5 linked regions of the Oryzias latipes genome follow. The protein of the gene in region 4 interacts with the protein of the main gene of each other region in a biochemical or structural test. Links are inferred from orthologs where the notes say so. Each region holds a gene or a part of one and is shown on either strand. Other genes may lie near its edges. The genes, in order: pdlim7, rhob, mothers against decapentaplegic homolog 5, smurf1 and ube2m.

What was found.
Region 1: the proteins of smurf1 (region 4) and pdlim7 are reported together in a solved structure, tested with the Homo sapiens proteins (2 studies listed by BioGRID, with this or other methods). The link is inferred for Oryzias latipes from reciprocal best matches to the Homo sapiens genes SMURF1 and PDLIM7.
Region 2: the proteins of smurf1 (region 4) and rhob form a complex in vitro, tested with the Homo sapiens proteins (2 studies listed by BioGRID and IntAct, with this or other methods). The link is inferred for Oryzias latipes from reciprocal best matches to the Homo sapiens genes SMURF1 and RHOB.
Region 3: of the proteins of smurf1 (region 4) and mothers against decapentaplegic homolog 5, one has a biochemical effect on the other in vitro, tested with the Homo sapiens proteins (3 studies listed by BioGRID, with this or other methods). The link is inferred for Oryzias latipes from reciprocal best matches to the Homo sapiens genes SMURF1 and SMAD5.
Region 5: the proteins of smurf1 (region 4) and ube2m form a complex in vitro, tested with the Homo sapiens proteins (2 studies listed by BioGRID). The link is inferred for Oryzias latipes from reciprocal best matches to the Homo sapiens genes SMURF1 and UBE2M.

Annotation. Positions count from the first base shown.
Region 1 is NC_019868.2:19,511,202-19,516,586, reverse strand, and holds the end of pdlim7 (PDZ and LIM domain protein 7), read left to right. Parts: coding exon 1-70; intron 71-175; coding exon 176-296; intron 297-2,549; coding exon 2,550-2,665; intron 2,666-2,945; coding exon 2,946-3,032; 3' UTR 3,033-3,997; downstream 3,998-5,385. UniProt on the Homo sapiens protein: May function as a scaffold on which the coordinated assembly of proteins can occur. May play a role as an adapter that, via its PDZ domain, localizes LIM-binding proteins to actin filaments of both skeletal muscle and nonmuscle tissues.
Region 2 is NC_019882.2:6,548,574-6,555,139, reverse strand, and holds rhob (rho-related GTP-binding protein RhoB), read right to left. Parts: upstream 4,311-6,566; 5' UTR 4,139-4,310; coding exon 3,545-4,138; 3' UTR 1,855-3,544; downstream 1-1,854. Other genes in the region: apolipoprotein B-100, read left to right, coding at 1-859; pum2 (pumilio homolog 2), read left to right, coding at 6,538-6,566. UniProt on the Homo sapiens protein: Mediates apoptosis in neoplastically transformed cells after DNA damage. Not essential for development but affects cell adhesion and growth factor signaling in transformed cells. Plays a negative role in tumorigenesis as deletion causes tumor formation.
Region 3 is NC_019868.2:25,747,279-25,753,262, reverse strand, and holds part of mothers against decapentaplegic homolog 5, read left to right. Parts: intron 1-1,510; 5' UTR 1,511-1,970; coding exon 1,971-2,373; intron 2,374-4,837; coding exon 4,838-5,098; intron 5,099-5,984. UniProt on the Homo sapiens protein: Transcriptional regulator that plays a role in various cellular processes including embryonic development, cell differentiation, angiogenesis and tissue homeostasis.
Region 4 is NC_019866.2:19,074,937-19,081,624, forward strand, and holds the start of smurf1 (E3 ubiquitin-protein ligase SMURF1), read left to right. Parts: upstream 1-2,371; 5' UTR 2,372-2,606; coding exon 2,607-2,661; intron 2,662-6,688. UniProt on the Homo sapiens protein: E3 ubiquitin-protein ligase that acts as a negative regulator of BMP signaling pathway. Mediates ubiquitination and degradation of SMAD1 and SMAD5, 2 receptor-regulated SMADs specific for the BMP pathway.
Region 5 is NC_019866.2:193,987-200,416, reverse strand, and holds the start of ube2m (NEDD8-conjugating enzyme Ubc12), read right to left. Parts: upstream 4,032-6,430; 5' UTR 3,843-4,031; coding exon 3,728-3,842; intron 2,782-3,727; coding exon 2,687-2,781; intron 1,924-2,686; coding exon 1,885-1,923; intron 1,817-1,884; coding exon 1,713-1,816; intron 1,628-1,712; coding exon 1,564-1,627; intron 888-1,563; coding exon 747-887; 3' UTR 1-746.

The sequences.
Region 1 (5,385 bases), on a different chromosome or scaffold from region 4:
CTACTGTACCAAGTGCCACGACAACCGATACGCGCCAAACTGTGCCAAGTGCAAGAAGAAAATCACAGGGGTGAGCGGGCCAAACCTTACCGGAAATCCAGAAATGTCAGCTAAAAACAGAAGAAAACGATCAAATCAAAGGAGCTGGTTTTTAGATCGGATTTTCTTTTGTCAGGAAATCATGCACGCCCTGAAAATGACCTACCACGTGGAGTGCTTCAAATGTGCCGCCTGCAAGGCTCCCATCAGGAACCAGGCCTTCTATATGGAGGAGGGGGAACCCTACTGTGAGAAAGGTGAGGAAGCCTCAGCGCCAAACACAAAAACCTGAAAGTATTGCTCCAGTTCACTTCTGATGTGCTCATTTTGAGTTTGTGTGGTGAATCATTTCGTTGGAATATCTAAAAAAAACAAAACGAAAGAAAATAAATTAATTTCTGTGTTTATTTCAATGATGTATTCCGCCAACGACAATGGTGTTTTGATGTTTTTAACTTGTTCTTGTGGTATTTTTCTAATGATGGACATATATCAAGAATATTAAGCTCAAAATTGCATTTCTGAGTATTTCTCTATTGAAATTGTTGTGAAACAGGAGCAGACCAAAAAATTCAATTTGAAAAAAGAACTTATTTGTGTGACTGATGGATGGATGGATGGATGGATGAACAACTATTAATCCACTAAGGGCAATTCAGTAAAAACAGCTATCCAGCGAGAACAGATCAAAGACATGACAGTAAAACCAGCGTGCGAAACAAAAAATGAATCAAATAAATAAATTTAAAAATACTCTGGGTGGGCCACAAGCACCCTGCTCTGAGCTCTCAGCAAAGAGAAGGGGTAGGGGGGCGGAGTTGCACCGTGTCCCACCTACAACTCAGAGGTGAATCTCTAATGAACTCCTGCCGCTCTGCAGAAACTATGTCCTAGAAAACAACCCTGGTTTCTTGATTTTGGCTAAAAACGGCACCATCGTAATGAAAAGACCACTGGGAACGATTTCACAACAGATCAAAAGATGATTGGCGTGTTTATAACCTTTACTAGAGTGTAACTCTGCAACTTCTTCAGTTTGTGAGTGCTGCTGCTGCTGCTCAGCGTCACTCCTGGATGTCTCCGTTACTTTCTTTTTTTTTAGCTCCAGTTTAGCTCCACACTTCAACTTGTGATTTCTGGCCCCTTATGCTGCATTTTACTCCTAAACTTGACTCCCTATAGCCAGTTTGGACACCCCGGGGGGCTCCTGCTGGGGGCTTTTTCTACTTTACTGCTGATCAGGGAGTTCTTGTCTCACTGTTATTTTTATTTATTTATTTAATTTCCCTGACAGACTTATTCCTGTCGGTGGGGGGTGGGGGGATCACGTGCAGACGAGTCAGAATAATGTGGTTTGTGGAAGCGCAGTTAGAAATGAGTGGAGTAATCACTTTCCTCCCCAGAAACCCGAGTTTGAATGGACAGTTCCATTCCGTCTGTGGCAGGGATACTTGAGCAGTAGAAAAGGAAACTGGCAGAAATTAAAGTGGCTCCAAATCCCAGCGTGCACATTGATTAGTTCCAGCGCACAATGGGAGACCTCTCAGGCCGTGTGAGAGCCCCCCCCCCCCATGATTTCTGCATGTTTCTTGTAAATCTAAGTACAAAGCATCACAGGCCGTCTGTCTTAAATGTTTGATGCAACAGCACTCTGCAGCTGAGAGGATGGGAAGTTTTCCAAACCAAAATAAAGACTTTTATCAGGCTCTTTGTGACAGCTGTGTGAAGCCCGGCTGCAGCGCTGCCGAGGCTTTCTGTCTGGTGAATCGGAGCGCTGCACAGCACAGTCAATCACCGAGTGTGATGTTTTCATCTGCTGTAATGTATTTAGCTGCAGTTTACTCCATGCATCCCTCTGTAGGCAGTTATGAAAGGTGCACGCTCCTCTATTATGCTCTAAATGATTTAGCGGGGCAATGTGTTTCTTACTCAACGCTCAGCCCCTGACGGGTTTTGCTGCTTTATCAGAGGCAGAGGCAGAAACCCCAATCCTCATTTTCTGAATAATGCCTTCAGCTCTGATAAACATTCTGCTGCCTCAGCATCTTGCAGGAATTGTGCCGCTCTCGCTGCCTCTTGAGAAGCTGCGTTATAACCTGACACTTTCCCCAGAGTCCTCGTGATGAAAGAGACTGGCAAATCCAGTCAAGTATTGGGAGCAATTTCCCCCTCCCCTCCTCCTAATCCCCGCATGCTGTGAAGGCACCACTGTTGCTCCAAATATCACACTATCAAATGGCCAATGAGGAGCGGAGCCAGCATTTGGCATCCGCAGCATCTCATCCGCCGTTATTGCTTCCCTTCAATCCCTTAAGTGCTTGTGTGTAGCGTCTTCTCATCTTTAAGGGCGCTAACCTCCAGCTTTTTAAAAAAACATGAAAGGCGAGAGCTCTTGGAGATCCTTTGCGCCGTAACCTCGGCGAGAAGTAAAGTTCTGTTGACATAATTTGGCCTGGTTCTACAGACGTCAAGTCTCCCTGGAATCTGAGTTTCCTCTGTTTCCTCTCCAGACTACGAGAAGATGTTTGGCACCAAATGCCACGGCTGCGACTTCAAGATTGATGCCGGCGATCGTTTCCTGGAGGCCTTAGGCTTCAGCTGGCACGACACGTGCTTCGTCTGTGCTGTAAGTCTGATTGGACCCCTTTTTTTTTTTTGTTTTTAGCCCCAATTTTTCTCCAATCTCAGCAGAACCTGACCCATCTGAGCTCATCTTAGAACCTGGAGCTCTTTCTTCAGTTTGGTTTTTCCTATCTGAGCGTGAAAACAGTCAAAGGAGACGCATGGGTCCGCTCTGGCCCGCACCAAACTGTGCAAATTCCCATTGGCACTGGTGCAGTTTGATATCTCCTCCACCTCGGTTGCTCCATCTGACTCCGTCTGTCTGTCTTCTTTCATCTTTAAAGCTCTGCCAAATCAACCTTGAGGGTAAGACGTTCTACTCGAAGAAGGATAAGCCGCTGTGCAAAAGCCACGCTTTTGCTCCGGTGTGAGAGGAGCCAGCTGCATCTGCAGAAAGAACAACTTCTGCCTCCACCTCCTCTTTACCCCGTTTTGCCCTCTGACACGATCAGCATTGCCAACCACACAGCCACTTCAGCTCAGTCTGTTTTTTTTTTTATATCCTGCAGACTTTATTTTCAGAGGCTTCATTCTGACTTCACATGCTGTCACCTTCTAGGGCTGCTAAAACTCTCCAGATGTCACTTTGTAATTAACATTTTGCTGCTTTACTGGAACTAATCGAGAAATTATTTCAGATCGTCAGCTCTTGATATATATATATATATATATATATATATATATATATATATATATATATATATATATATATATATATATATATATATATATATATAATGCTCAGATTTCATCAATACACTTCTGTACTGAGAGCAGAAAAGCTCCTCCCACAGCGCCTGTAATGCTACTGAACCCGGTTTAGCAGAATATTATCATTGGAATGTTAAACAAAGACTCACATTTTCTCTTTTTTTTCCTCTTTGCTCCTCCCCCTCATGCTCTTGTTCTGATAATAAAGGTCAAAGATCACATGAAACACTAGTTTCATGATGGAATTTATTTCTATGCTTTAATTTTCTGTAGCTTTTATGTTGAAAGTTTCAAATAAAACCCTTTTAGATGCCACACAAACTGAAGAAACTCAATTATTTAAAAACAAAAACATGTTATTTGTGTTTTGACTTGTATACAAATAATTCCCTGTTTTTTTTAATATGTAATTCAAAATGTAATAATGTTCCACATTTGAATCTATCTAATCTAACTGCATGTCATTAATGTTCAGTTATTTCCTAAAAGAAGATTTTAGACTCTTCACTGTTTGGCAGAGATCATGAACTTCACAATTTTCATTTAGTTTTGTTTCCTTCTCTTCACTTTGCACGACTCCTTTAACCTTTCACACGGTTTAATAAACTGGGTTTGTTCGATAAAATACTTCTCGTGTAGGAAAATATTTTTGCAGTTTTTCCACCACATTTAAACATTTTTTTGTTAGTCATTTTTTAAGTTTTTATGGACATTTAAATGAATCATGAGTCCAACGTACACATTGTCCTTTTTTTTTTTACGACTACCCACTAATTATTCATTAAGACTTTAAATCTTCCATTCCAGTTAAAAAAAAATAAAAGAAACAGCTTAGGGGGGAAAAAAAAAAAAAAATAGATGTTTAGCTAAAAAAAAACAAGTAAATTACAAAACGTTAAGTTTGTTTCTAGTTTAAACTACACTTTGTTTTTGTGGTTACAATAGTGTTATACAACCACTGGTAAATTTACAGACTTGGTTTAAACCAACAAATCAAAAACTAGTAAAAAAAAGAATATTTTTATAAACTTAAAGCTTTACAAATCTACCAACTCCCTTTCCAGAATATTCACCCTAACAGCTTCTAAATGTTTGGAAATATTTTCCTTTTCATTTTCCCACTTTTATTCTATATTTAGAGACTGTTGAATATAACATCTGAACTTTAAACATGAATATAAAATACAGAAGTTCTTATAAAATCAAAATAATTAAAGCATCTTAAAATGAAATTTGATATAAATGGAGGTCTTAAGGACAGAATGCGGTGTTCTGTAAGTTTAATAGACTGTTGCTGGAGCTCAGGTTTCTGAGCAGAAGGTGCTTTCATGAAAGCTTCACTATCCCGAAAGGTCAAAGTTCAACAGCTTACATTATAGGAGTTTGATAAATGTGTGTAAGGAAATGATGAATAAACTGCCCCTAAACCTGTGACTAAATACAGAATCTGCATTTTTTTTGGTGAGTCTAATTAAAAACACTTTATAACTTTCCGCCTTGCATATCCTAAACTTCCTGTAATAAAGCTATTTCTATAGAATTTAATATCGACTTTAACAAAAATCACGTTTGGCATCAAAGAGTGTTAGAAGAACCGATCGGAAGAATTACATTTTTCACTTTTGTTCCTTTTTTTGAGGTAGTAGGTTTTGTTTCCTGTTTAGTTGGTTGCATTTTATCCTTTTAACCAGAATTTCTTTTCCTTTTTTTTTTTAACAGTTTGAAGGTAACTTCTGGCTCTTGCGTGAATGCATAAAGTTTTATAAATCCATGAAATTTGTGCAGTAAAGATGTTTTAGCAAATTTTTTTTTTAGCAAAAGTTTCTTTTAACGGACGTCAAAGTGAAATTCCACAAAATGTTTGGTTTAATGTCGACGTTCTTTTTGCAATTAAAGACTCCAGTCCTCGATTTTAGCAATATATAATTTATTTACAACAATTTTGGATTGAATTACTATACATACCTTTCTGAAATGTCATAGATATATATACATAAGGCCAAGTAAATACTT
Region 2 (6,566 bases), on a different chromosome or scaffold from region 4:
TATTGAGAGCGTAATGGCATCAGATGTTTCTGATGTTATGACCACTGTCACAGATAGGACCATTGTAATTCTAAAAGAATATCAAAAAAGAGTTAAACTTTTCCTTAACGCTGCTGTGAAATTCCTCAGAGAGACCAAGTTCCGGATTCCAGGTTATGAAGAGAAGCTCTCTGGACTAGAGGTTTACAAGGAGTTTAGTGCTTTTGTTGCTGGTGTATCAGAAGAGGCTGTTGAAAGGATCCCAGGGTACTTTACTATCATGTTTGCAGATGTCCTCGAACAATTCCAAGCTATTGAATTTGTCTTTCCTGGATCTGACCGCATCGTCAGTGGTAAAGAGCTTCTTGATGACTTGTTGTTAGCTTTGAGGCAAATCCAGGAGCAGATAATCATTACAGTGAGGAAACTTGGAGACATCTCACTTGAGGATATTTCGAAAAAATTATATGCATCTGTGCAGTTCACAGTTGCACAGAGTGAGAGGTTTCTTCAGTCTCTAAAATCTCTCAGTGCAGAGAATCTCTCCAGATTTTTCAGCGATCTGATTAGTGATGCAATGAACTCCCAGATTTTTGCCGATGTTGCGCAGCAGCTAAAAGAAATTCACAGAATCATTTTGGAATATTTTAAAGCTGTGTCTGATAAAATCTACAACATTGTGGCGGACGTCTCCACTGAACAGCTAAGATCTGACATCCAGTCCTGGATTGATCTGTCTGTAAAACGCCTAAATTCTTTCCACAACGACATCATCAGAGCTCTCAAAGAAACAACCAAGAATGTTAAAAAGTATGTGAAAGTGACTGACAGACAGATAGATGTGGACATTCCCTTACCATTGGCTGCCAGATTCAACTAAATGATTTTGACTCTCAAAAATACAACATAGTGTTAATCAATTTCTTTGCAACCAACAACACAACCATAAATGCACCAAAAAGCTGAGCAATTGACAGACAATTACGGTACATCCTTTTATCTCTGTACCATTACTCCATGTAATTTTGTTCATTGTGTCACTGCAGACTAACAATTCTTTTCACCCTCATGTGTTTTCTTTATGCCTTGTACTATTTAAAAACCTCTCTGGGTTTCAATAAATACAATTTTTACTGCACAGAAGTCTAACTCGTTTTTTTTTAATATTTTAAATTAATTTTCTGCTGTTCCACCTAAAACACACACACAAAAATGTGCCTCTTAAAAAATATGCTGAAAACAATGGAACTAGATAGCACTCCCAAAGGGACATTAGTCATTAGGAAGTCTAAGTTAAAAATAGTTCTTGTGACACACCATCTTTCTTGTCCTTAAACAAAGCTGGTTGGTGCACAAAACAGCAGGTTTGTGTGTTAACAATGAAATTCACACCAAAACATTCTATTTGCAACTGCTTGACTCGGAGAGAATGACTCATTTTCCAGTTGCAGCTCTTACATCATTTGAGCAATAACTGATTGTAAAATAAATACCCATGATTACCCTATGTATAACCTATCACATGCGACAAAAGCCAGTTTTCTCATAGTATTTTTCAGACACGTTCCATTTTTTTATTATTAACTGTCTGCTCATTAGATGTTAGTCCTTAAGTTTTTAAGACTAACATCTATTAGTCTTGATATATTTCATGGAATGTTCTTATTACTGACTAAAAGACAAAGAACTTTATATTACATATTTAAAGTAAATAAAAGTACAACACCCCAGCTCTTTATGAATATGTTAGAAATAGTAAATATTTACTGAGAAAGTAAATTGAAAAAAAAATCCACGCATATGCATTTGCCAATAAATATGTTATGAAAGTATTTTAAAATTCATTTTTATGGGAAAAAAATAATTAAAGCAATGAAAAGTGAAATGTGTTTTTATTGACATTTCCAGAGCAGTAGCAGTTCTTCCCTTAAGCCCCGTAAAACCTTTTCTGTACCATTACGAGGCAATAACCAGAAAGACACAAACAATTTGGCACAGTCCTGCCCATGTTTTACTGAAAAAAAGATGAGGCAACCTGCAGCAAGCAGTGTCAGAACACTGTAAATCAGAGGCACAAGTGAGGCCACTGTGACAATAAAAAAAGTCCAGCACAAAGCATTCCCATCCTGTAAGTCAGCACAAAGCCTAGCAACAGAAGGCAGACAGGAATGTGACTTTTATACCACTCCAACTCTGCCTAGATTTGTTCAATATAAAGGTTTTAACTTAAGGTAACTTCATTATTGATTGTTAAGGTTTTTTTCTGTTTTTATGTACACATTTAAAATACTTTCTTTGTGGAAATGTACCACGAACAGAACAGCTGGAACAGTAAATCCACCGGGTTTTTACAACAGATCGCCGTGTAGCAACAGTGTCAGTAACTGATGTCCATTCAGCAAACACTCCCACCAGCATGCAACGGGGTGGTTACACAAGACGTCTGTGTAGCCACACAAGAGCTAGGTTTATTTCAGAAAAACACATCTGTTCCTATGAAGTTTTCCTTTAACAAGAAAAAGTACATTCGTTGTTGCAGTTGCAAAAGCCCTTAATTAATACAAATTCAGTAACTGTATTTTACAGCTTCAGTAATGGATCACGTTTACATTCAAGAAGCCTTTTGTTCAAAGTTTGTGAATTGGATGCAAATAAGTTTGGATAAAAAACATACAGTGATGAATCTAATGTCCTTCCATAAGTTATTTGTGTCAAAGGAACACATTTTCTTTAAAAAATGTCTGTAGTGTTTTAAAAAGAAAATGCATCCCAGAGTCAAACCATGCAACCTGCTCTCTCTTTAATCCCATAACTTTAATTTTTTTTAAAAGAACTTCAACTATTTACAACTGGTTCCATAAGGGCTAGAATTTCCAAACAGCCTTCTTGTATAAAATACTGTGCGACACTGAGAAGAAAAACACTTTAAAGGATCTAAAAGGTTAACCATTTTCAGGAAGGCAAGCTGGGAAGTTCTAACTCTGGGATGATCCCAGATTGTTTCATTTTATGTGAAAAACCTATACTTTTGTAATACAAATATGGTTTATGAACTGTAAACTGGAGCTTTTGTCTAGTAAAATGTAGCAAAAACTTCACCCAACACTATTTGCACCGATATTTATAAATTGTTGTAGTGTCCAACACTGCAGGTTGACAAAAATGTTATGGCACAAACTGGTAATAAATTATTATTTTTTTTCTTTTCTGTCTTTTGAAAGTTTACACATTGTAGTGACCTATCCAGACTCAACAATGAAAAAGAACAAAAACTTTGGCCCAGGAGCAGGCCTTCGACAAGGACGTGTCCACATGGGAAGTGGGTCAGGTTTCTCTTCACCCCCACCAGCCAGACTGTGATCATGTGACTCACAAAGAACAAAAAACAAAAAATACAAACATTTGTTGATATTCATGCGTGCTCGGGGGGGAAATGAGGGAATACAGTCTGCTTGTATTCAGTCAGTGTGTGGCTCAATCAAGGGCGTATGACTCCAGCAGGGGAGTGCCCAAACCATCAGGCCCACGCGTGTCCAGACGCCTCAGCGGATGGATAGCAGATGATTCACATTAAAACGCAGCATTTAAAACAACCATCTCCGGGTGTTCTCCGCTTTTGCAAGGCCGCTCGCGTTGCCGTTTCAAAAACCTCCCAGATCCCCTCTTTGGTTTTGGCAGAGCACTCCAAATAGTCATAGGCGCCGATACGCGCCGCCATGGCGCGTCCGTCCTCCGCCTTCACGGGCTCCAGCTTCAAGCGAGACAGCTCGTTCTTGGTGTTTTCGTCGTTGCGCAGGTCCTTCTTGTTGCCCACCAGAATAATCGGCACGTTCGGGCAAAAGTGTTTCACCTCGGGGACCCACTTTTCCGGGATGTTTTGCAGCGAGTCGGGGCTGTCCACGGAGAAACACATGAGGATGACATCAGTGTCCGGGTAGGAGAGCGGGCGCAGGCGGTCGTAGTCTTCCTGTCCGGCCGTGTCCCACAAAGCAAGCTGGACCTGCTTGTTGTTGTCCACCTCAATGTCCGCCACATACGTCTCAAACACAGTCGGAACGTACACTTCGGGGAACTCGTCCCTGCTAAACACAATGAGCAGACACGTTTTCCCGCATGCGCCATCCCCGACCACCACCAGCTTCTTCCGTATGTCTGCCATTCCTGCCTTTTCCTAGGAGGTCCCCCTCAGGCGAATCATCCAAAGATACTGACGCGGTCTTCTTCTTTGTCTTCTGGTGCTGCTGACCCTGTTTTTGTGGGCAAAATCTAACCAGTTAAACCAGACACTTAATTAAAAAAAAACTCCCAACCATCTACAGGCCAGTGGGTGGTTTTATAAAGCCTGTGCGCTTTCCTAAATATAGCAATCCAATCGGAAATGGGGAGGTGAGATCACACTTTGGGAGATGAAAGATGATTGGCTCCTATGGAGTAAGGGGCGTGTCCAAAAACAAGAAGAACCATACCGGCTTCTAAAATCACCAAAATCTGTTAAATAAAGCGGAATCACGGATTTTTTTTTAATCTTCATGTATAGCTTTTTTTAAATATTATTTTTATGTTAGCTAATTTATATACATTAGCCTCAAATTTGTAGAATAAACCTGTAAATAGAAATCAGATACACAGATGATAAAGTTTTCAGATAAGTACAAATAGGTCGATTTTTGTTTTTGTTTTTTTGTTTCGGAGTTGTTTGTTTTTGAATTTTTTCAACCCGTCAGGAGCTGATATGCGTTTGAAGAGTACATGATACACATGATACAGGAAAGATAGATTTACATTAGCTTTGTTAGACGTGTGTGTCCACGTAGTTCGCTCTATTTACAGGGAGGGGGCACCAGCGAAGGCACAGCGCTTAGCTGAAGCTAAATCACCGCACTCAAGGAAACAAAACAATATAGAATAGGGTTGACGGTGTGCAGCGAGCACAGATCCTCTCTCGATACAAAAAGGCGTGAGTATTTTCCCCCCTTTTGTGCTCATAATACAAACACGGGCGCTACGAGACGACCGCCTTGAAGCAGTTACCGCAAGATTAATATTTTCTCTTTTGTTTAGCGGTAAAGGCCCCTCTATTTGGAACTTGAGGGGGGCCATGTTGTTTAGCCGCTGAGTGTTTGGCTGATGCTTTAGCTCTCAAAACAGCAATTAGCTTCTATTTTAGCTGACATGGGTTGCTTGAACTGTTGAACATATTTGAATGTGATTGACAGAGTCAGGAAAAAGTAAGAAATGATTACAAGCCATTTTGCAAACTAAATCATTTAAAATCTCCACTACTTTGCTGGTTAGGATTGTTTAATTCCCAAACTGAATTTGACGTCTGGTTGTAACAAACCAAAAACAAACACAACAGGCCCGCTTTCCTTAGCATTAGCCGGTTAGCCATGGATGTTGCGAAGGCGAGCTTCTAAATGATGTCTTTTGGCGTGAACATGTTTTGTTTAATTAGTGTGATTATTCAAAGCTAATTTAACACACCCGTGACAACTGCCACTGAGTCTGTAACAATAATCTTTATTTTTCGTTTTAAAAAATTGCTAATTGCTGCTAACTTAGCTTGCTCATTAGCACCGGACTTGCTAGCAAGCTTAGCAAAGCGGTTTGTTCTTTGATTTGTCTCAACACTAAACGCTTAATTTTTGCCGTTTAAATTAATTTTCAAAATTATACAACAATGATCGTTTATAGTTTTTGCCTTGACCAAAATAACAATTTTGTAAGAGAAAACATTTATGTTATCGTGGTTAAAATTACCCATAAATCTTTACCATCGTGATTTTTAGGCTTGCATATGTTTATTAATATTGTATGCTAATGCTGCACCAACAAGTTTATTCGTGACCACACTATAACTACGGAGTTATTTTACTGACAAATTTGAATGCTATAAGCCAGCAATCGAAATAAAACTAATTCAAAAAGCAGAAATGACTGTTGGGTAATTAAGCTGCTTAAGAAGAAGTGATTACGTGGAAAATACTTATAATTCTGAGTGAATCCTTTTATTAGAACCACCTTGTAGGCTTTCCATGATAAAGCAGAACTTATATTTTAAGCAACAAATAGTTTTGATGTTTTCTTATGAACCTAGAAGTTCGATTTTATTTTGATTTAAAAACTAACCTTTCAGCTAAAAACATCATGAAACAGGCTCTTAACGTCAATATAACTTTGGCAGAACACATTTTAATAAATAAAACTCGTTAACGACCGAGTCCGGTGTAAATTTTGTTTTTTACATGCTCCTGTGTCATTTCTCTGGTGATGCAGGACATCAAGCTAGCAGGACAGAGTGTAAACAGAGGGATGGTGGGAAGTGGGGGCAGGCTTACTCCACGCCACTATTCCCTTCCACAACTAGGAGGCACATTTCTGATGAACTTGCGCAGCTCTGCATAAACTATGTCCTAGAAAATGACACAGGTTTACTGATTTTTGGCTAAAAACAACATAAGCATAGCTAATAGATTTTGGGTGATATTTAGGCATGTCGATGTGTTCATATTAATGTAGCATTTCTTCATGCTTTGTCTGTGTAGGTTTTCCCGTGGAATGAGCGTTCCATGCAGCATCCTAGGTAT
Region 3 (5,984 bases), on a different chromosome or scaffold from region 4:
TAATTTTAAACACCAGCTGGGTGATCAGTTTTGTCTTTGGCTTTACGTCCTGCCATCTATGATTTCCTACTGATTTTTGTGTGGGTGGGGGGGGGGGGTGTATAACAATGAGCAATAAGAACTGCTGGACAGCTGTGGTCTTGATGGGAGGAATCAGGCAGAGATGAGATGGAGGAGGAAGCGGCTTACATCCTTTCTGACTCCACTAGTTTTTCCAAACTTCCACACAGCTGCGGCTGCACATGTTTGAACTCCATTTGTTTGGTCTGCATACGCTTAGAACAAAATAAGTCGCGCTCTGAACATTGTTTTTGGTGTTTTTAACATGGAGGCCATTTAATAAGTAAATTAGGCTCGGAATAGCCTTTCTGAATATTCTTTTTTTTTTTTTATTCAAATCAGGAATAAGAAGCAGACAAAAAATGCTGTTTGAAAAAGATCTTATTTTTATAAAGAAGATGCACTTAGCGAGTTCCCTGCTCTGCTCCATTCTGATGCATCCACTTGGAGACAAATGGATCCATGTGTACAGGACGTGATCTGTTAGTTTTAATTACACAAAATATTATCTGTCCCTAAGTTTCTTTCCCCCCTGTATTCTGTGTTGGGTTGTGTAGCCGCTCCTTAATGTGTTCTTCTTCGCTGGTTTTCTCTCTTTATAAGTTTGGCGCTTGCTTTCCCTCTCTCCTTTTTGTTTGATTGTCCAGCGGGAGAGGTGGGTGCCCTGTAATGATAGCCATATGAATCCTCGTTTTATGTTAGTTATTGTCCCTTATACTCTTATTATGTGGAATCTGTTATGAAAACACAAAAAACCTTTGTAGATGTTAACTGTTTATTTCAGTATAAGAATTTCCTGTGCTCCCTCTACCTCTCACCTTCACGTAGGAGCTAATACGGGATGCTAACACCGTGGTTTCTATTTTCTTTTTGGAAAATTGTCCGATACGCAATAAACGGAGGTTGTGCTGCTGTGTCCCGACATCTTTTGACTTTCTTAAACACAACGCAGAAATGATCCGGTTACACATGCACGTCTTTGTTTTCCTTGTTTGAGCTGGAACCTGGATCAAAACTGTACGACTGGATAGCTCCAACATTTCTCACCGTTTTAGTTGCACCTGCAATGTTAGGTTGGCAGGCCGTAAGATAGCTGGAGAGTGTGTAAGCAGCTCTCAGTTTTGGGTGATAAGATACTTTTCATTTTCACTTAAAGTTTACTCTTTGAAATGCAACACCTTTCAGATGGTTGAGTCATTCATGTTTCAGCAAGCATGCCTGAACTTCCTTACAACTGATGTAAGATAGAGAAAAGAAGATGGCAGACTTCTCGAATAACCTGTTGATGAAGACAAGTGCTTGTCACATGATTTCAGAACTCATAAACACTGATCTTAGTCCCGATGAAGTTAACCGAAGCAAGAAAAGTTTGTTTTTTTAGCATCCAAATCATCTCAAATATTTTCTGTGTTGCTTTTCCCTAACATCTGCTGTCTCTTTCATTTTGCAGAAAGGTGGTGACTTCATACTGAGCTTCGTTGGATGAACACATCACACAGGAAATATGGTTGTCTTCCTATAAGGCTTTTTTTTCTTTTTCTTTGTCTTTTTTTTTTCTGACACAGGCGTCCTGATGTCAGCCCCTGCAGTTTGAAACTTTTCCCTCGGTTAGTAGTGGTGACCCGACTACGGTCAGCTTGCTGCAGGGCCTTTCCTGAGCAGCAGCAGCTGCGTCCTGCTTGCTGACTCCCATTCCTCCCCTGCTTCCTGTCCTTGGTCAGACAAGGCTAGTCTTCTCACTCCACCCTCATCTCTGTCCACTCATTTGCTTTCTTACACTGCTCGTTTGATTGATCAAGCCTTTGGACTGGTTTTAGGGTACCATCATTTTTTGAATTCTTTTGGACGGACGGAGGGTGACCGTTTACCCCACGCAGCTCTCTGATTTGGGCTAGACTACATTGTGCAACATGTCGTCCATGTCTAGCCTCTTTTCTTTTACAAGCCCAGCAGTCAAACGGCTGCTTGGGTGGAAGCAAGGAGATGAGGAAGAGAAATGGGCAGAAAAGGCTGTGGATGCACTTGTGAAAAAGCTGAAAAAGAAGAAGGGCGCCATGGAAGACCTGGAGAAAGCCCTGAGCTGCCCAGGTCAACCCAGCAAGTGTGTTACCATTCCACGATCCCTGGATGGCCGGCTGCAGGTTTCTCACAGGAAAGGTCTCCCTCACGTTATCTACTGTCGAGTGTGGCGCTGGCCGGACCTTCAGTCCCACCATGAGCTGAAGCCCCTGGACGGGTGCGAGTATCCATTTGGCTCCAAACAGAAGGAGGTCTGCATCAATCCGTACCACTACAATCGCGTGGAAAGCCCTGGTAAGTATCAGTAGATATCATACTTATTGAAATATTTGCACTTTGCTCTTTTAACTGCTTTAAATATGCTTTTTTATTTGTAAATTTTAAACGATAAAACTTTGTCAGATTTCACACATTTCCATTTGAGTTATTCGTGTTTGTTGATGTTAAGGAACCTTTTATGTCAAAAATGTTCCTCTTTTTTTTTTTTTTTTTTAATCTTTGGCATTAAAACCATAAGCGCAATTCTCATATTGGCACACTAACTGATGTCGGGCTGCACACATCCTTCAGAACCTCGAGTTCCAAAGAGCTCGGTAAACAAATCCACAAAGGTCAGGAGGCTGTCCTCACTGGCCCGTTCTACCCGCCTCCTCCATTTCACAGAAAATCAATACCACTAGCTCTAAGAATCTTATTAGATTATATGCCTCAGGCACTCCAGATTGGGTGTGGCATCAAAGTGGCTCAGTAAATGCATAAACCCCTCGGAGTAAACTCCCAGCATGTTCTGTTCACGAACCGTCCTCCCTAGTTTAACGTCCGTCACGTTGGGAGACAAAAAAGGAGGACCCCTTTTGTTGCTTTGAGATGCGTTTCTCTGGTGGCGAATATACTTGTCGGTTTCGTGTATCACTGGCTCCTTTGTTAGATTTTGTTACATCCAGCTCAGAAAGACATTTAGATTGTTTTCAGCAAAGTCACATTATGGTTGGCTAATTAAACATGTGACTGCAGCTTCTACATTAGCCTCAGGGACTGGAAGCGACAATCCTCTGTGAAATTGTTCTTCATTTTTTCTCCCATGTTGGGTGTCTAAATTCAATGCTTTGGTGTGTTAATGGTATATTCCATTATAAAAATGCATTGCTATTTATATTTCTTTGCAAATAATGTAAATAACATTGTGTTAAAAGTTATACATTGTATTAATAATTTATGATGCTTATTTTTATTGGCCTGTTTGTTTGGTTTGCATTGCGTGTGCAGGTAGGAAAGTCCACCTGAACCTTGTTTATGACCAAGAAAGCAAACCTTTTCATTCTTTTTTAAACACCTGGTGCATTTCAGTGACGGTGTAAATGTAAGCAGATAGTTCAAGTGCCAAAGAGTGATTCAAGCCGCTTTGTATTGCTAAGGAAAATCTGGAAAGAACTTGAAAATGCACAAATTACATAAAGACATTAAAATGCCTCTTAGGTAAACACTGTGATGGAACGATGGGAAGTGTATCGAGATTATAAAAGGACAATTAGCTTTATACTTAGTTTTTTTTTTTCTTCCAAACAAACGTCTTTTTTTTTTCTGCAAAAGCACCCCAAAAAGACTTTTTTTTTTGGTGATTCAGTAGTTTTTGAATCAATGCTGTGCATGTACTAGTTCATAATGCAAGGCTACTTTTATGCTCCCCGTATGGCTATTGGGCATCCTGCGCCTCTGTTTTGATGTGTATCAAGTTAGCTGCTTAACACTTGTCCAAAAGTGTGTTTATAAACCTGATGCTCCCGACACTGCCGGGATGAGCTGCTGTCAAAGCTTTTTAGCCTCATCGCCACATGGAAGCCACCGATGATGATGAGAGATCAGTTATCTTAAAGAGCTCTTCATCGTGTCTCCATGTATGGGTTCATGAGGTCATTCAGAGACTCTGCCAGTACGGTGAGGTTCACCATCTACTGCAGGCGCTGTGTCTGCATGACGGCGCTCTCAGCTGTGCTTCCGTCTCTCTGTGACCCAGTCTGACGACTTGCTGTCCCGCGTTACTCTGAGAAAAGAAAAAATAAAAATAAAATAAGAGGAACTTTTTATTATCGTCGCCCTACAAAGAAGAAAAATATCACAAAGTTCAGGAGGAGAACAAACATTTCTCCTCCATGCTGGTTTTGGACTCCACCCACTGATCACGTCAACAGCATGTCACGGGCCAAAGCTGAGTTCCTGATTGGTTGACGCAGAACAAAGTTTTCACCAAAGTTTTGATGTTTAAACTCTGGAAATATGCTGAATTTTCGCCTCCCTGTTCAAAACGTGCTGTCTCTAGAGAATCGCGCTGCAGCTGACGTTCAAAATTCATCGCAAGACTTTTTATTGAGTCCGTATGAAACCGCGACTCGCCCTTGTTGTGAACGCAGCTTTAGTTTGCTTCCGGTCTTTGGTTAACTTAAGTTTGCTTTCTCGCTAAAAAGAACCAGACAGGAATTCATTTGCTAGTAAATTTATAATCTACTAAATTAACCAGAGTTTGCTTGACTTGACAATCAAGTTCAGAAAAAATGTATATATTTTTAAGAGGGTATACATCTTTCATTGGTTTGATTGTTTTATGAGGGGGTTAGCCATTAATAACTACTTATAACAGAAAAGGTCTTTTAGCGATTGTTTGGTATAATGGAAATTTCTTAACATTTAATTTTATTTTTATGATTTTAATGTGTCAAATAAAAATGTCTTTGTCTCCTTTATCTTTCTTTCTACCTTCCAGTGCTGCCTCCTGTCCTTGTACCGCGACACAGCGAGTTCAATCCACAGCACAGTTTGCTTGCACAGTTTCGCAATCTCACCCACAACGAGCCGCACATGCCCCTAAACGCCACCTTTCCGGAGTCCTTTCCACAGCCGCACAACGGGGGTGGCTCCTTTTCCATTTCTCCCAACTCTCCATATCCCCCCTCTCCAGCCAGCTGTGGTACTTACCCAAACTCCCCTGTCAGCTCGGGACCCTCCAGTCCATTCCAACTCCCAGGTACATCACACCCATTCATGTTCCTGACCCTGGGAAACCTGCCAGGCTATTGTTTGACTCAGCTGTCGCTCTAACGTAGACAAGAAAACTTCTGACGAGTGTTGGTCTCAAGTGAGATGATTTTGATTGTGTGATGTGAGGAAGAGGTGTCATTTGCACTCGACTGAAGGAAATTGAACCAGAAAAAAATGGAATTTCTTTGTTGAATCATCATCAATGCAACTAGCCTGGGACCGCGTTAAATTTTTTTAGCAGACTTGGATCGTTGTGCTTTCTTATGGGGTCAAGATGACCATTGACGTGTTATTCCTACCATGACAAAGGTGGAGAGGATTTCTTGTAATCCATGGACACCATTGAAGTTCACAAATCATTGAAGAAAAAAGTTCAGCGCACTGTCTAGTGGGTCTAGATGACCCAACTCCCAATGTTAAAGTGCCTAGGATAGCACAAGGGTTAAAAATGGTTTTTAACCCCTTTTGTAAATTTCTGTCACAGAACTTTGTTTTAGCTTCTTGCTAATCTAATTAGTTCAACAAGTCCAAACCATTACCTGTAAATGAAAACTGGACTGAGTGGCCCCTCCTTCTTTGTGTTTCAAACAGGAAGTACCCAATGGCTTTAAGAGACCCATAGACTTCTACTGAGAAATAAATAGCTATTGCTCCGTCATTCTATTCGTCAGAATGATCATTCTCGCTCAACTACCTTTTTTTTTTTTGCTAATCTAAATTTTTTTTAATGATACTTTTTCTTTAGTGCAAGTTATTCAAAATTTGAAATGCCCAATAAAAGTGGGTGGTGCCTGCTGGCCCCCAAGTCCAATGTTTAAAACGTTTGACAGATTCTCCCGAAGCCGGCTTTCAAGTGGCAGGGGTGTAGACAT
Region 4 (6,688 bases):
CACATCTCCTGCACACCTACACCTCAGCAGATGGGTGGAGTTGTGAGGCTTTTCCATGTACTCCTGCATGCCACGAGGCCCTCGTGTTTGACGGCATCCGTGCTTTATTGAAAACAAACCATTGACCTCCTTTCTGCTGAAATGACGTCAGCAAGACTCTAAGAAATTTCCAAAGACAAGCTCTTGAGGCATTTTACAAATGAAACAAAGACATATTTGGGATTATTATGAATCTGAACCTCAAATAACTTTTACAGAAGCAACATGAGACATTTTTATTTAAACTGAGGAGAAGTTAAGGTTTGGAGACTTTAGGCTTCAGATGTTTTCAAATGTCTGGCTGTGCTTTCACTGTCTGACAGAAGCTGTGTTGTTATCTAAAAGCTGCTTTATGTCCAATAGGGGGCTGCAGTGAAGTCTGATTATATCAAGAGAGCAAGTCTTTATCCAATTATTTGCATTTTTGTCTTTTCTTCTTTGCTTTAACACAGTTCATTTGAGTTTTCCGGGTCAGAATCCATTTAAATTAGCAATAAGTTAAAAAAAAAGAAAATGTTTTTGGAAACAAACATATCGTTTTTTTCTTATAACACTTTTCTTTTTCACTTTTGTAAGGATAGTTTGGCAAATGCTTCATAGAAACAGAATTTATCAGCAAAAATTATTTATCACAGGCATTAAAACAAGAAAAATAAATGAAATTAATTGTGAATCTGTTTATAACAAGTTAATATCAGTTACAGCAGGGGGTTGAATATTTACTCCTTTAAAAAATACTTTTCATTTGGATTTTTGCTTCTGTGAGGGAGTGTGAGCTTCTGTAAAGCCTCTGCACGTGTTGGCTGGTAAACTGTGGGTTTGTGTCTGGATGTGTATGTGGCTCGGTTTTGTGGATTTACTGTGGCGTGTAAACAGGCAGTAGACAGGTTCCTTTGTTTCCTCGGCTAATATCAAAAGCGTGTTGCTCACCCTGGTGCTACTAAAGAGCCAAATCCCAGGAACCATAATCCCAGATGCTCTGCTCTCTCAATCTCAAGACACAAGTGCATTGCACATTCCTCACAAACGCAACAAATGCTCAATGCTTCCGATCTGCAAGTTTGCCTGTTGACCTTCTTTTTGTTTGGCTCTTCTCTCAAAACTGTTAAACTCAGATCTAAATGGGCTCTATTCTGAAAAAAGAATGAAAATGGTATATTTTCTTAATCTCCATGTCTTCAATATTAATACAAGTTTTTGTGTAATTTAAGGATTAAAATCATCACTAAATTTGTTTTTTTTCTTAACTGACTAGTGTTAGTCATAACAAAAATTACAACTGTGACTTACCATCCTAGACCCTCAAAGGGATTAAAAAGGTGATTATTTTTAATTAATTCTTAAGTAATACCTGTACATAAACTTTTCCACATTTGGAGTATCTGCTAAATTTCTAACAGTTGTGTTCGTATTTCAATAAAACGTACTTCTTCATAATCAGTTAGGATTTAAAAGGCTTCACGTTGGTGCAAGTGTAAATGTTGGGAAGACAAAAATAGTCAAATATGTTGATCTATACTGTAGCCTTCAAATAAAAAAAAGGGTTTGTGTGAGTGATTTTATAGATGTACACTTTTCTTCAAGCACATCAATTTAAATGCTTCAGTTTAGATAACAGGAATGAAGATTAAAGTTATGGTCCATATGACCCCTAAAGTCTCCTCCCATCCCATGATGAATGTTTTTGGTGATGTTTTTTTTATTTTTCTGTCTCACCTACAAACATGCAGAGAGAAACTCATCACTGGAAAGCTGTTTATAGACATAATATTCATGCTTTCACCCAAAGCTGTACGATCTCCTGCTCTCTAAAAAGAAGGGAATTTAAAAAGTTGTTTTCTAGCTTTTGCTTAAAGTGAACATTTTCAGAGCAACACGGGTAGATCAACTGTTCCTGTGTACATCCATGTTTTTTTATTACAAATATTTTAAATATTAGGATAAATAAATCAACTGAATTAATAGCAGTTAATTGATTATATGTGTTTGTTGAAAACAGTTTACTTGGAAAATGAATTAATGTCTATCTGTGAGGGAAATGTTGATATTAAATTCATTTGTATACTTTTAGGTCACTGTATGAAGGGAAAACCCCTCAAGATCCCTTAGTTCTTGTAGAGTTAAAACTAAATTGCTCTCAAAATATTGAGTAAAGTATTGTTTTTTATCATAGATTGTTTAATTGTTCTTTTCCCCTCTCTCTACTCTCGTGTTTTGTTTAAATAATAATAATAATAATTTATTAATTTTCGGAGAAGATTTGTTTTGAAAATCGTGAGAAATGTTTTGCTGGCGCGCGCACACTTGCTGGAGCGAGCACGTAGCGTCAAGAACATGACGTCAGCCGGCTACGTGCTTGAGCCTGCCTGAAAATGTTCTCCCGTGTTGTTGGATTTAGAAGGAGCGCAGGACTTTGCGGCGGAATTATGTCTTTTTATCCATGAAGAAAACAGCCCTCGTCTTCTTGTAGTGAAGTCTTTGCGGTCCCGCTCTTTCATGAAACTGTGATTTTTCCGGAGGGCTGTCTCCGAGGGGAAGTTTGACTGATCCTTTTTTCTCCCGAAGTGATGTCGAATCCTGGGAGTCGGAGGAACGGGTCCAGCATCAAAATTCGACTGACAGGTAAAAATACAAAGGAAATAATTACATGATGAATTGTTTGCAGTACCAGTTTTGTGGAAAAACTACCACCCCAGTCCACATATCTCTGCTGTGTTATGTGTAAGTAGTCAATCTGTCTCCTTTCGGTGCTTCTTTGCCCAAACATCCGGTTTTCTGTAGCAGGCTCAGCTAACTTGTTAGCAGCCATGCTAACAAAATTACCGTACGAGCAATTCATAAATTGACAGTTTTTGCTCGTTTTACGGCTGAGCGAAGTGAAAACGCCGCAATGACGAGCTGGTGAAACTGCAGCCTTTTACCAAGTCGTTGAAAAACTTAATTAGCTGCTCGGGCTAGTAGGATGCTAGCGCTAGCCTTTACAACACTGCAGTAAATGTTGACCACTCGTAACGCTCGCTAGCTACACCCATATTTGGAGGGTGGACAGACAACCGAGCCCCGTCGCTTCTGCTGAATCCTATGGGCTCTGTTACAAGAATGAGAGCTGACCTGCAGCCTCTCCAGACATTGATTTGTCTGTTAATATGACATGCTACCCTAGATTAACTGCAGCCATCGATCGTCTGGTGTTAGCTAGAGCTACACTCGCTGAACTTCTGCCTCCTCTGAAGTTTGTTCTTGAGGTATCTGAGATCTACTGTCAGGGTTAGAGCCTTCATTTACACTTTTTTTAAATTGATCTTTATAAATATTATTTTAGGCCAAAAAAGCTCCTATCCAGCAGATATTTTTAATATATTTGGTACCTATATAATAAATACAATAAAGACATGAAAAAGATAAGAAAATTAAAGCTCAAGATTGTGTAATCTATGGTTCATTTTAATGTTTTTAACTATGCAAAATTTTTAAGGGGCATTTTTATAATGTATAATGAATCCTTAGTTAAGAATTTATTACTTTTTGTGTGTTAACACACTAACATCACTGACTGGGACCGAATTGATCCTGATTATATTTTGGTTATTAAGGGAAATTATATTTGACAGGCAGCACCAAAGCAATACAATTTTTTCACGTTAAATGTCAAGGCCTTTAGATTTAGACTAAAACCTGACCAGCCTACTGATGGCAAATGTCAATTTATGACTTTATTTATGGATACTTATGTTTAATACAAATTTTAGTTTGAGACTATTGGATATATCTAAATATGTATGTATTATAGTTTGAGAACCACTGTTTTATTCTGTTAAAGACCCACTCCATTCATCTGTTGATCTATTTTCAAAGCATTCCCAGTGGTTTTTTAAATATGATTATGCCCATTTTAGTCAAAATCAAAAAACCTGTCGTTTTCTTTAGAGCTGCAGGGGTTCATTTGACATTTGCCTTTGTGTTGTGCCTAGGACTGTTGGCACAGAGTAAGCTCACCCCCACTTCCCGTCACCCATTTGTTTGCGCGCTCTCCCAGCCCCTTACATCCCCAACCTACCATTACTGGTGCAACAAAAATGGCGAGCAATATTGGAGCTATCCAGCTGTACAGTTTTGAGCCAGATGCCAGCTCAGACGAAGAAAAGAGAGCCATGCATGGATATTGTGGTCTATAAGTGGATTAATCAGAATGGAGCGGAGCAGGGAGACTGTTGCCTATCGACTGTAGCTTCTATGTCACAAGTCCAACCTCTGTCAAACTTTAAATTGTCTCTGACTCATTTTCTTTTCCACTCTATTTTACTCAGAATCAGACAAAACAGACATGTTTGATGGGAATTCTGCAGGGTAACCCTAAACTGGAAATGAACTTTTTTACTAATGTAGCAGAATGCCTGATTCAAAACTAAATAAGCACACACGCAAAACATCGTTGCCTTGTTATTTGAAATTTTATTTTTTATTTGAAGTGGTGCAGAAAAAACATTAGTGGAAATAAAGTGATTGCTGTTCCTGTGGAAGGTTTGCGATTCTCCTGAAGTGACATGGTGGTTTAAGTGGTTAGACACTTGCTGCACGTGTGTATTTCTATATCCTGTGTCTAAAGTCTGCATTCTAAGGGATTAGAGCAGATACATGCTGTCTACTAGAGCAAGTCTCACAAACCTGACCTACTTCTTCCCATAAAGCCTTTATATTTACTCCCCAAGGTGTCACTCATTCAAGCTGAATGTGAAAAAGAAAAGCCAGAATCTTTACAGTTGAGAGGATAGTTACAGTTAAGCTAAAAGTGATACAAAAATCAACAGAACCAAATATTTGTGTTTCACACATAAATTTAAAGTCAGCTTTAGATACAAAGATGGGGATTTTCAGTTAAAAAATGGCACATTGATCTGAGAATTTATGGTTGAATAAACTTCACAGCAATTTTACGATTTTCTTTCATGGAAACAAAACTTCACTTTTTTAGTTTTTGAAGTAAAAATTTCTTGTTTTATCAGCATTTCATTTTGTGGTGCCAATTTAAAACCAACTCTGGTTCACTTTAAGCGAAAAAAATGTGTCCAGTCTGAATACACCCAGAGGTTAAATTGAGTGTCTATTTTGTTGGTCCGTACAGAGTCCGCTTAGTCTGGTCCAGATAAAGTCCTGAACCGTGCATTTGGACTATATCTAGACTGACTTTACCCAGGGACTCATGTTCCGGATCAAAGCTTGGAAACAAAACCATGTGACTAAAGATCTCTTCAGTCATTGGCAAGGAATTACAACGGTGGGGCAAAGCAACGGGAGGCAAAAATGTTGGAAGTCTTGCGCTTCGGAGGCCTTGTCGGGATAGTTCAGTATTCAAACTTTATTTTTCACTGACCAATTTTCCCAGTCTGTGTCAATGTCAGGTAGAACACTTTACTGCTGCTTTGGTGTCTGGTCTGAATACACCCTGAATGGGTTTCAAAACCCCACCAATAAATCGGTCTTCATTATATCAATAAAGCTTATTTATTTTGCATTTACGTGAGTTTGATTGTTTAATTTAAAAGGCGCTTAAAAATAAAAAAAGCTGATTATTTTTATACAACTCTCTACTGGGAGAAAAGTGGCTAAACCATGAGCGATTGTCTTTTTATTTTTTTAAGTTGTTTTGTGATGGAAAAATGAAGAGTGTTTGTGTGCTGGTGAGGCGTTCCCTCCTGATTCCAGCCTAGACTCTGTCAAATGTTGTTTCCCCTGAGTTTGCCCCGCCTACACAGGTATTATAGGAATTTTTATTGGGTAAAGACTGTGCATTAAGCTGGCGGGAGCACTGTGCTGTCAGGCTGACCTGCTCTGTTTATTTTGCCAGACAGCGATTGTTTGGCCTACATCAAAAAGGCCTGTGATTCTGTGGAAGGGACTCGGGCAAGTTTGGGCCACATTTCAGAGACGCTGTTATTGTCTGCTTGCCGCCAAACAAGAATCTGATTGTCAATTCTCTCTCTGTGCCTTTTTACATCAGAAATAGCCTGTAAAGAACTCTGAAGTCTGAGAAACAGATTACAGAACCGCCTTGTGTTTCGTCTGAATGTTTTCAGTCAGCTGATCGTTTGGATGTTTATTAATGAGCAGCGTTGCGTAAGCAGCAGGATGCCTGACAGCCCACGGCCATTTTTACCCATGAACTGCAGTCCCTGAAAACTGCCCGAGATGTTATTGGAAACCTGCATGTGAGAACGCAGACGTCAGCAAAACTGGCCAGAGACTTCCTGCACTGAATTTATAGCCAACTCGCTGTTAGGAAGTACGGAAGATCAATCACACTGGCTCATATAGCATTCATTACCTGCTGTAGTCTAAACACAGCAGATTTCAAAGACAGCTTTTTGCATCTTCCTCTGCAAAAGACCTGCATGTCTGAACTGCAGCTGTAGTAGATTTGGATTGTAGATTATTGTAGATTTTCTGTGATTTCAAAGCATATTTTATTAATAACACGATAGAACAAAAAGGGGGAAAAGGGGGGGAAACAGGGTCTTTTTTAGACCCTGTTCTTATCAGTGCACAGTTTAATCTGTTTATAAAGCTTCATCTGTATGGCTTGCTGCATTTCTGAATCCATCATTTTGTTTTAACCGTGAACATCAATTATTATTATCAGCTCATTCACTAA
Region 5 (6,430 bases), about 19 Mb from region 4:
TCATATTCACAAGAATCCTAATGTTTAACTCCTCCCCTTTTTGACTCCACCCCTTAAAACCCCCAAATGAAAATAAAATGCGCCTTCTATTTAAATGCAAAAGTTCCGAACCAAACAATAGCCCCACCCATCGGCGCTCCATGTTTTAGCAGCAAACTCCAAACAGGTCTGGGTTGTTGCTCGCCGTCTCCAGATGCCGCATCATAAGCTCCTCCCACAAAGATCAAGATCCGCTGATGTCATCATAGAAGCATTTTAAGGCGTGTTCATTCAAACTTAGCCACTCCCCATATGAAGACCTCAACTCTATAAGCCCCTCCTCCTTTGAGTCTCCTGATCCTGAATGTTTCCTGAGGTTGCTCCACCCCCTCCTGTCCAACCCCCCCCCCCGACCCACTACCTAATGTTAAGGCGGGTCTTTCTCCCCTCAACCTGTCCAGGTGGGATGGGGGGGGGGGGGGTCTGGAGTTTGCTGCTGGCCTATGGACCACAGAAAATGTGGGAACGGGAAGGGGCGTGTCTGAATGTCAGCCTAAAAAAACAAAAAGAAATCCGGCAAATCTTCATCCTCATCAGCGTTGGGCTGACCCCCCCACCTTCCATAAAAACAGCTGGACATAAAAGAATGTGAGAGGAGGGGGCGGAGCTTCTTTCTTCTGCGTGTGACTTCCTGTTTCCTGCTGCGGCCCCCCAGCAGGGCTGAAGAGCAAACGGGTGGGGGGAGGGTGAGATGGTGGGACGCCCAGCTATTTCAGACATCTCTCAAAGTAGGTGGCGCCCACATAGCCCCCCCTCAGGGAGCGATGGACATTCTGCTCAAAGAGCCGCCGGTTCGTCTGCAGGACCTCCGCCGCCTCCTTGTTCAGGGGGTCCTCCGGGTTTGGCTCCTGGGGGGTGGAGTCGAGCGTCAGTCGTGTCAGTGACACCAGCAGAACCGCGGGTTCGGACCACCTCAGGGATTCACAGGGGCCCAGACACCAAAAGAACCGCCGCTGCACGGTTCCGTTTGGTGTCCAGTCCAACTGAGAGAACCCAGGGAGTCGCTTCAGACGAAGACTGAACCCAAATACAGTCTAGAACCTTCTTCTCTCATGGTTCCGAAACCAGAAACATCCGGAGTCACAAAGAGTTCTGAGCTTTGTTCCATCAGGATGAGTCTTCTGAAGGTTCTCCACCGTAGAACGGTTAAAGAACCTTCAGGTCCAGTTCCAGCTTCTGGACCTGAAGGTTCTTTAACCGTTCTACGGTGGAGAACCTTCTGGTCCAGTTCCAGCTGGAGTCTGAATCAAAGCAGGCAGAAGACCCGCCTCCACCGGTTCCAGGTTCTCTACGTTGGGCTGATCCCACTGGGTCCACTGTTCCCTAGCAGAACCGCTCTTCCAGATTGCTCCTAGATTTAGCTACGGAATGGGGGGGCAGCTAAGGCGTCCCCTTATCCAAATACGCCCCGCCCACTGACAGGAGTTTCCCAGTTGGGAGGGGCCCAGTGGGTGACCCTCCTGCAGTATGATTGGCTGACCAGCAGACCCCCCCCCCTCCCCCAGATCATGTGACGTGTCTTACTAGAAAGAGATACTGCAGACCGTAGATGATGGAGTTTATCGTCAGAACCGGCTTCCAGTCCTCTCTGTGGAGCAGAAGAGCACACATGAACCTCCAGAACCCCCCCCCCCCCCCCTCGCTGTTCGGATCTCCGGTTCTGAAGAACTGACCTGAGGATGTTTAGACAGACGTTTCCTTCCAGGTCAATGTTGGGGTGGTACACCATCGTCTCACACTTCACTTTGGGGGGGTCGTGGGGGTAACCCTGTCCTACCTGAAACACAAACTCTTATGATGTCTGCGAGCAGAGAAGGGGCGGGGCCAAATGACGCGTTTGCTGACCTTAAAGCTGAAGACGAACTTCCCTCCTTTGTAGAAACCCTGAGACAGAAACACAGGTTAGCTGCAGGATGCTGCCCCCTCCATGCCCCCCACTCTGCCTCAAAACCCCAATGTTGTGACATGGCTGTGGGGGGGCCACAGCTGAAGCAGCCACTTACAGGGCAGCACTACAAAATATGGAATCTATGAAGCATGGTGGCGGAGGACTAATGGTATGGGCTCAGAGCCTCCACCCCCAGAGTAATCAGAGTACTCTGGTATGACAGGCAAGGCTCAAACCCATGACACGCCCAGCCCCCCTGGAGACCCGTCTACCAAAAACTGGTTTTGCCTGCGACTGGATCCGACCAGCACCGCAGTGCCACATGAGTGTTCCGCCTGACAGCCCGCACTCTGGGTTTAGCTCTCTGTCTGTCATCTGTCTGCAGTTTAAATAAAGTTTTACATGAGGTCCCTGACGTGAACACAAGCAGCAGCAGGACTTTGACCAATCATCTCAGGGGAGAAGAATCACGGAGTGGATTCATGAGGAACATGATGATGAACAATCATGAAGAATTCCTTCTTTTTGCTTCCACTTGGTTTGAAATTCCCTCCGGGAGTTCAACAGGATACCTGGCTTTTATTCTGAAAATCCAGGTTAACTGCTGCTCTTTGAAATGCTCCAGAATCCAGCAGGAACACGAGGAACCTCGGCTACATGATGTCCATCTGTGGTCACATGACCCCCCCCCCCCCCCCCCACACACACACAGCCGAGTGTAAACGTGAACGTCTGCACTGCTAGGAATCAAACACGCACCTCATCCGGCGAGATGATGAGCCTGAAGTTGAGTAGGTCGTCATCGTCGGGGAAGCTGATCTCGCACGTCTTTGGCAGGTTCAGCTCGTTGATGTCTGGAACACAAACACCTGCCGTTCAGGATCCTTCTCTTCATCACAGGACAGCACCTGGAGGGTGCACCTGGAGGGCGCACCTGGAGGGTGCACCTGGAGGGCGCACCTGGAGGGTGCACCTGGAGGGTGCACCTGGAGGGCGCACCTGGAGGGTGCACCTGGAGGGCGCACCTGGAGGGTGCACCTGCGCACCTGGAGGGTGCACCTGCGCACCTGGAGGGTGCACCTGCGCACCTGGAGGGTGCACCTGCGCACCTGGAGGATGCACCTGCGCACCTGGAGGGCGCACCTGGAGCCAGCCCCACCCTACCTGAAATAGCTTCTAGCTCTGGACATCATACTATGTTTGCATTTAGGCTCTGCTTAGACATTTCAGATTGGACAATTAAATCACCCGAGTCCCCCCCCCCCCCCCCCCCCCACTCCTCCTGTTTGGTTCTGGCCAACTTCACTCCAGATTTGCCCCCCTGTCCCCGGTGGAAGGCGTGTACCCCTTGTGCTATCCTAGGCACTTTAACATTGGGAGTGGGGTCATCTAGACCCACTAGACAGTGGGTCATCTAGACCCACTAGACAGAGCTCTGAACCTTTTTTCTTCAATGATTTGTGATCTTCACTGGTGTCCATGGATTACATGAAATCTTTCCACCTTTATCCACCTTTGTCATGGTAGGGAGAACACCTCAATGGAAGGAGGGGGGGGGGTCATCTGAGATAGCACAAGGGTTAACCCCCCCACAGCTGCTCATCACTTTGTTTTCGAGGTTAGCCGTGGCTAACAGCTAGCAGCTAGGTTAGCATGCTAGCCGTTAGCCGGAACTGTCGCCGCTGCCGGCCCGGACTTCCCTCCGTCCGGGGACCGGAGCTGCCTGAAAGCGCGCAGACAGCAGCAGGCCCTCCCGGAGGACCGGCGGCGGTCCCGGGCCGGTGCAGAGGAGGAGCCCACCTTTCTGTATTCGGAGCTGGGCCGCGCTGGCTTTCTTCCCCCCGGCTCCGGCTCTGTTTCCTCCAGCAGATTCCTCGTCTTTCTTCTGCTGCTTTAGAGAAAACAGCTTAATCATCTTCACCTTTTGATCAGGGGGGGGGGGCAAGCTAGCGAGCCTTCGGGTTGCGCGGTCCCTCCAGGTCGTCTGGGACTGTTCGGAGGTTCGGATCGGTCCTAACAGCACCGGAACGTGGACGAAGCCGGCGCGTCTGAACGGGTCTCTGAACGCGGCAGCTGCTAGCCTGCTAGCCTAGCCTGTTAGCGGGGGTGGGGGGTGGGGTGGGGGTGGGTGTCATACGGACCCCCCCCCCCCCCCTGCTGTGAAGAAGTTCACTGGAAAAAATGTAAACAGAGAAAAGTGTAATAAAGTTGAAAAACATTGAAATGTTTCTGTTCAGATTTGGATCGAGCTTTAATTTAAAACGATGGAATTTTTACAAATATAAATAAAAATAACAAAAACAGTAACAACAAAAACTTTGCATACTTTGGTATTAATTGTACTTTTGACATTTTGCGTTTATTACTTTAATAATAGTCATTTTATTCTCTGGGTAACATTTTTCTGTTTCAAAAATTACTTTTTTTTAATTGTATGTTTCCTTTTTTCTGGGATCCTGAAGTACTCATTTCTCTGTGCGCGTGCGTTTAGGGGGTGCGTGCTCGGAAATAGTAAATGGACAGTTTTATTGCTGTTAAATTCGTGCAACAGTGAATTGATATTTCCCATAATGCCCTTTTCCACCCACTTCCCTGTTGTGACGTCACCAACAGAGGTGGGGCGTACATGCTGTCGCTCCCCATTTTTATTTACTTCATTTATTTATTTATTTTGCTGTTGCGTCTCCCTCCCACTCTGAGGCGGCGTGTGCGGTCACCTGCGTGATGTAATCAGTGCGGAGGTTAAACGTGTCAGGGCGGCGCGCGGGCTCCGGATCACGCTTCTCACGCCAACACTAGGCGCGAGAACAATAGCCGCGCACAGCGCTCACGCCAGCGGCTCCTGGCTGCGGGGGTTTGTGCGGGAGCGAAAGGAGCGGCGCCTGCGTGATTGCGGGGAAGGACACGCGGAGAAGAAGGCGTAAGCTGCGGGTAGAGAGAGATAGATCCACGCTGCAGAGAGAGAGGCGGAGTGCACGCGCATCCATCCGAGGCCTGATCACCTGATCGATATCGATCAGTTTCAGATCGATGTTTGGGTCCCGCGTGCGTCTCTGAGGCGGGGAGGATGGGTCGCGCGTGAGGGCTCCGGGGCCGCCGCGGCAGAGAGGTGTGCGGGGGGGTGTGATAAGGAAGCGGCGGAGCTAACGGGGCTAACCGGAGCTAACGAGGCTACCGTCCATTCTGATGAGCCACAGACGAGCATGCGCGCCCCAACGAACAGGTGAGAGACCGTTCGCGTGCGTGCGTGCGTGCGTGTGTGTTTGAGGGAGAGGGAGGGGGGGTCCATCTGTCCCGGTCCCTCCGGGGCTTCTGCACCCGGTACCAGGGGGAGCAGCCGCGGGGGGGCAGACAGCCTGCTAACCTGCTAGCGCATTAGCATGCCTTTCCCTCGTGATCAGGTGAAGTGAGGGGTGGGGGCGGAGGGTCATCACAGGTGCGTGATGGGCAGATTACCAGAACTAGTGGCGTAGAACGGCTGCAGGGGTCCGCGCTCTCACGCACCGACCTGCTTACTGTTGGCCTTTAGCCGCTGCATCTGCGCACTTATGCTCACCTGTATGATACCAAGCCCCGCCCCCAGGTGAGCAGTCCCTGACCCACAGACCACAGCAGAATCTTCTGGGCCTGCAGCTGAGACCAGGGCAGAAGCTCAGGTCCAGACCTGCTGATTCTTCAGGTTCTGCAGGAGGACTGGGTGGTACGGTCCACCTGCAGCCCCCGGAGCGGTCCACCTGAGCTCCAGGAGCGGCTTCAGATCAGCTGTAGGTTAAACTCTGTAGACGTTTACAGATGAGGAGGATGAGGATGATGAGGATGAATTCTATTTGTTTCCTGGAACCAGAAGTCCCCCTTCAGGATTCAGACAGAGTCAAGAACCCAGATGACTGGATGTGAGTCAGGAACGAGTGAGAACGTCAGAGTAGAACGTTGAAGAACGTCAGAGTAGAATGTTGAAGAACGTCAGAGTAGAATGTTGAAGAACGTCAGAGTAGAATGTTGAAGAACGTCAGAGTAGAATGTTGAAGAACGTGTGAGAACGTGTGAGAACGTCAGAGTAGAATGTGTGAGAACGTCAGAGTAGAATGTTGAAGAACGTGTGAGAACGTGTGAGAACGTCAGAGTAGAACGTGTGAGAACATCAGAGTAGAATGTTGAAGAATGTGTGAGAACGTCAGATAAGAATGTTGAAGAATGTGTGAGAACGTCAGATAAGAACGTTGAAGAATGTCAGAGTAAAACGTTGAAGAACGTGTGAGAACGTCAGAATAGAATGTTGAAGAACGTGTGAGAACGTGTGAGAACATCAGAGTAGAATGTTGAAGAATGTGTGAGAACGTCAGAGTAGAATGTTGAAGAACGTGTGACAACGTGTGAGAACGTCAGAGTAGAATGTTGAAGAACGTGTGAGAACGTGTGAGAACTTCAGAGTAGAACGTGTGAGAACATCAGAGTAGAATGTTGAAGAATGTGTGAGAACGTCAGAGTAGAATGTTGAAGAAC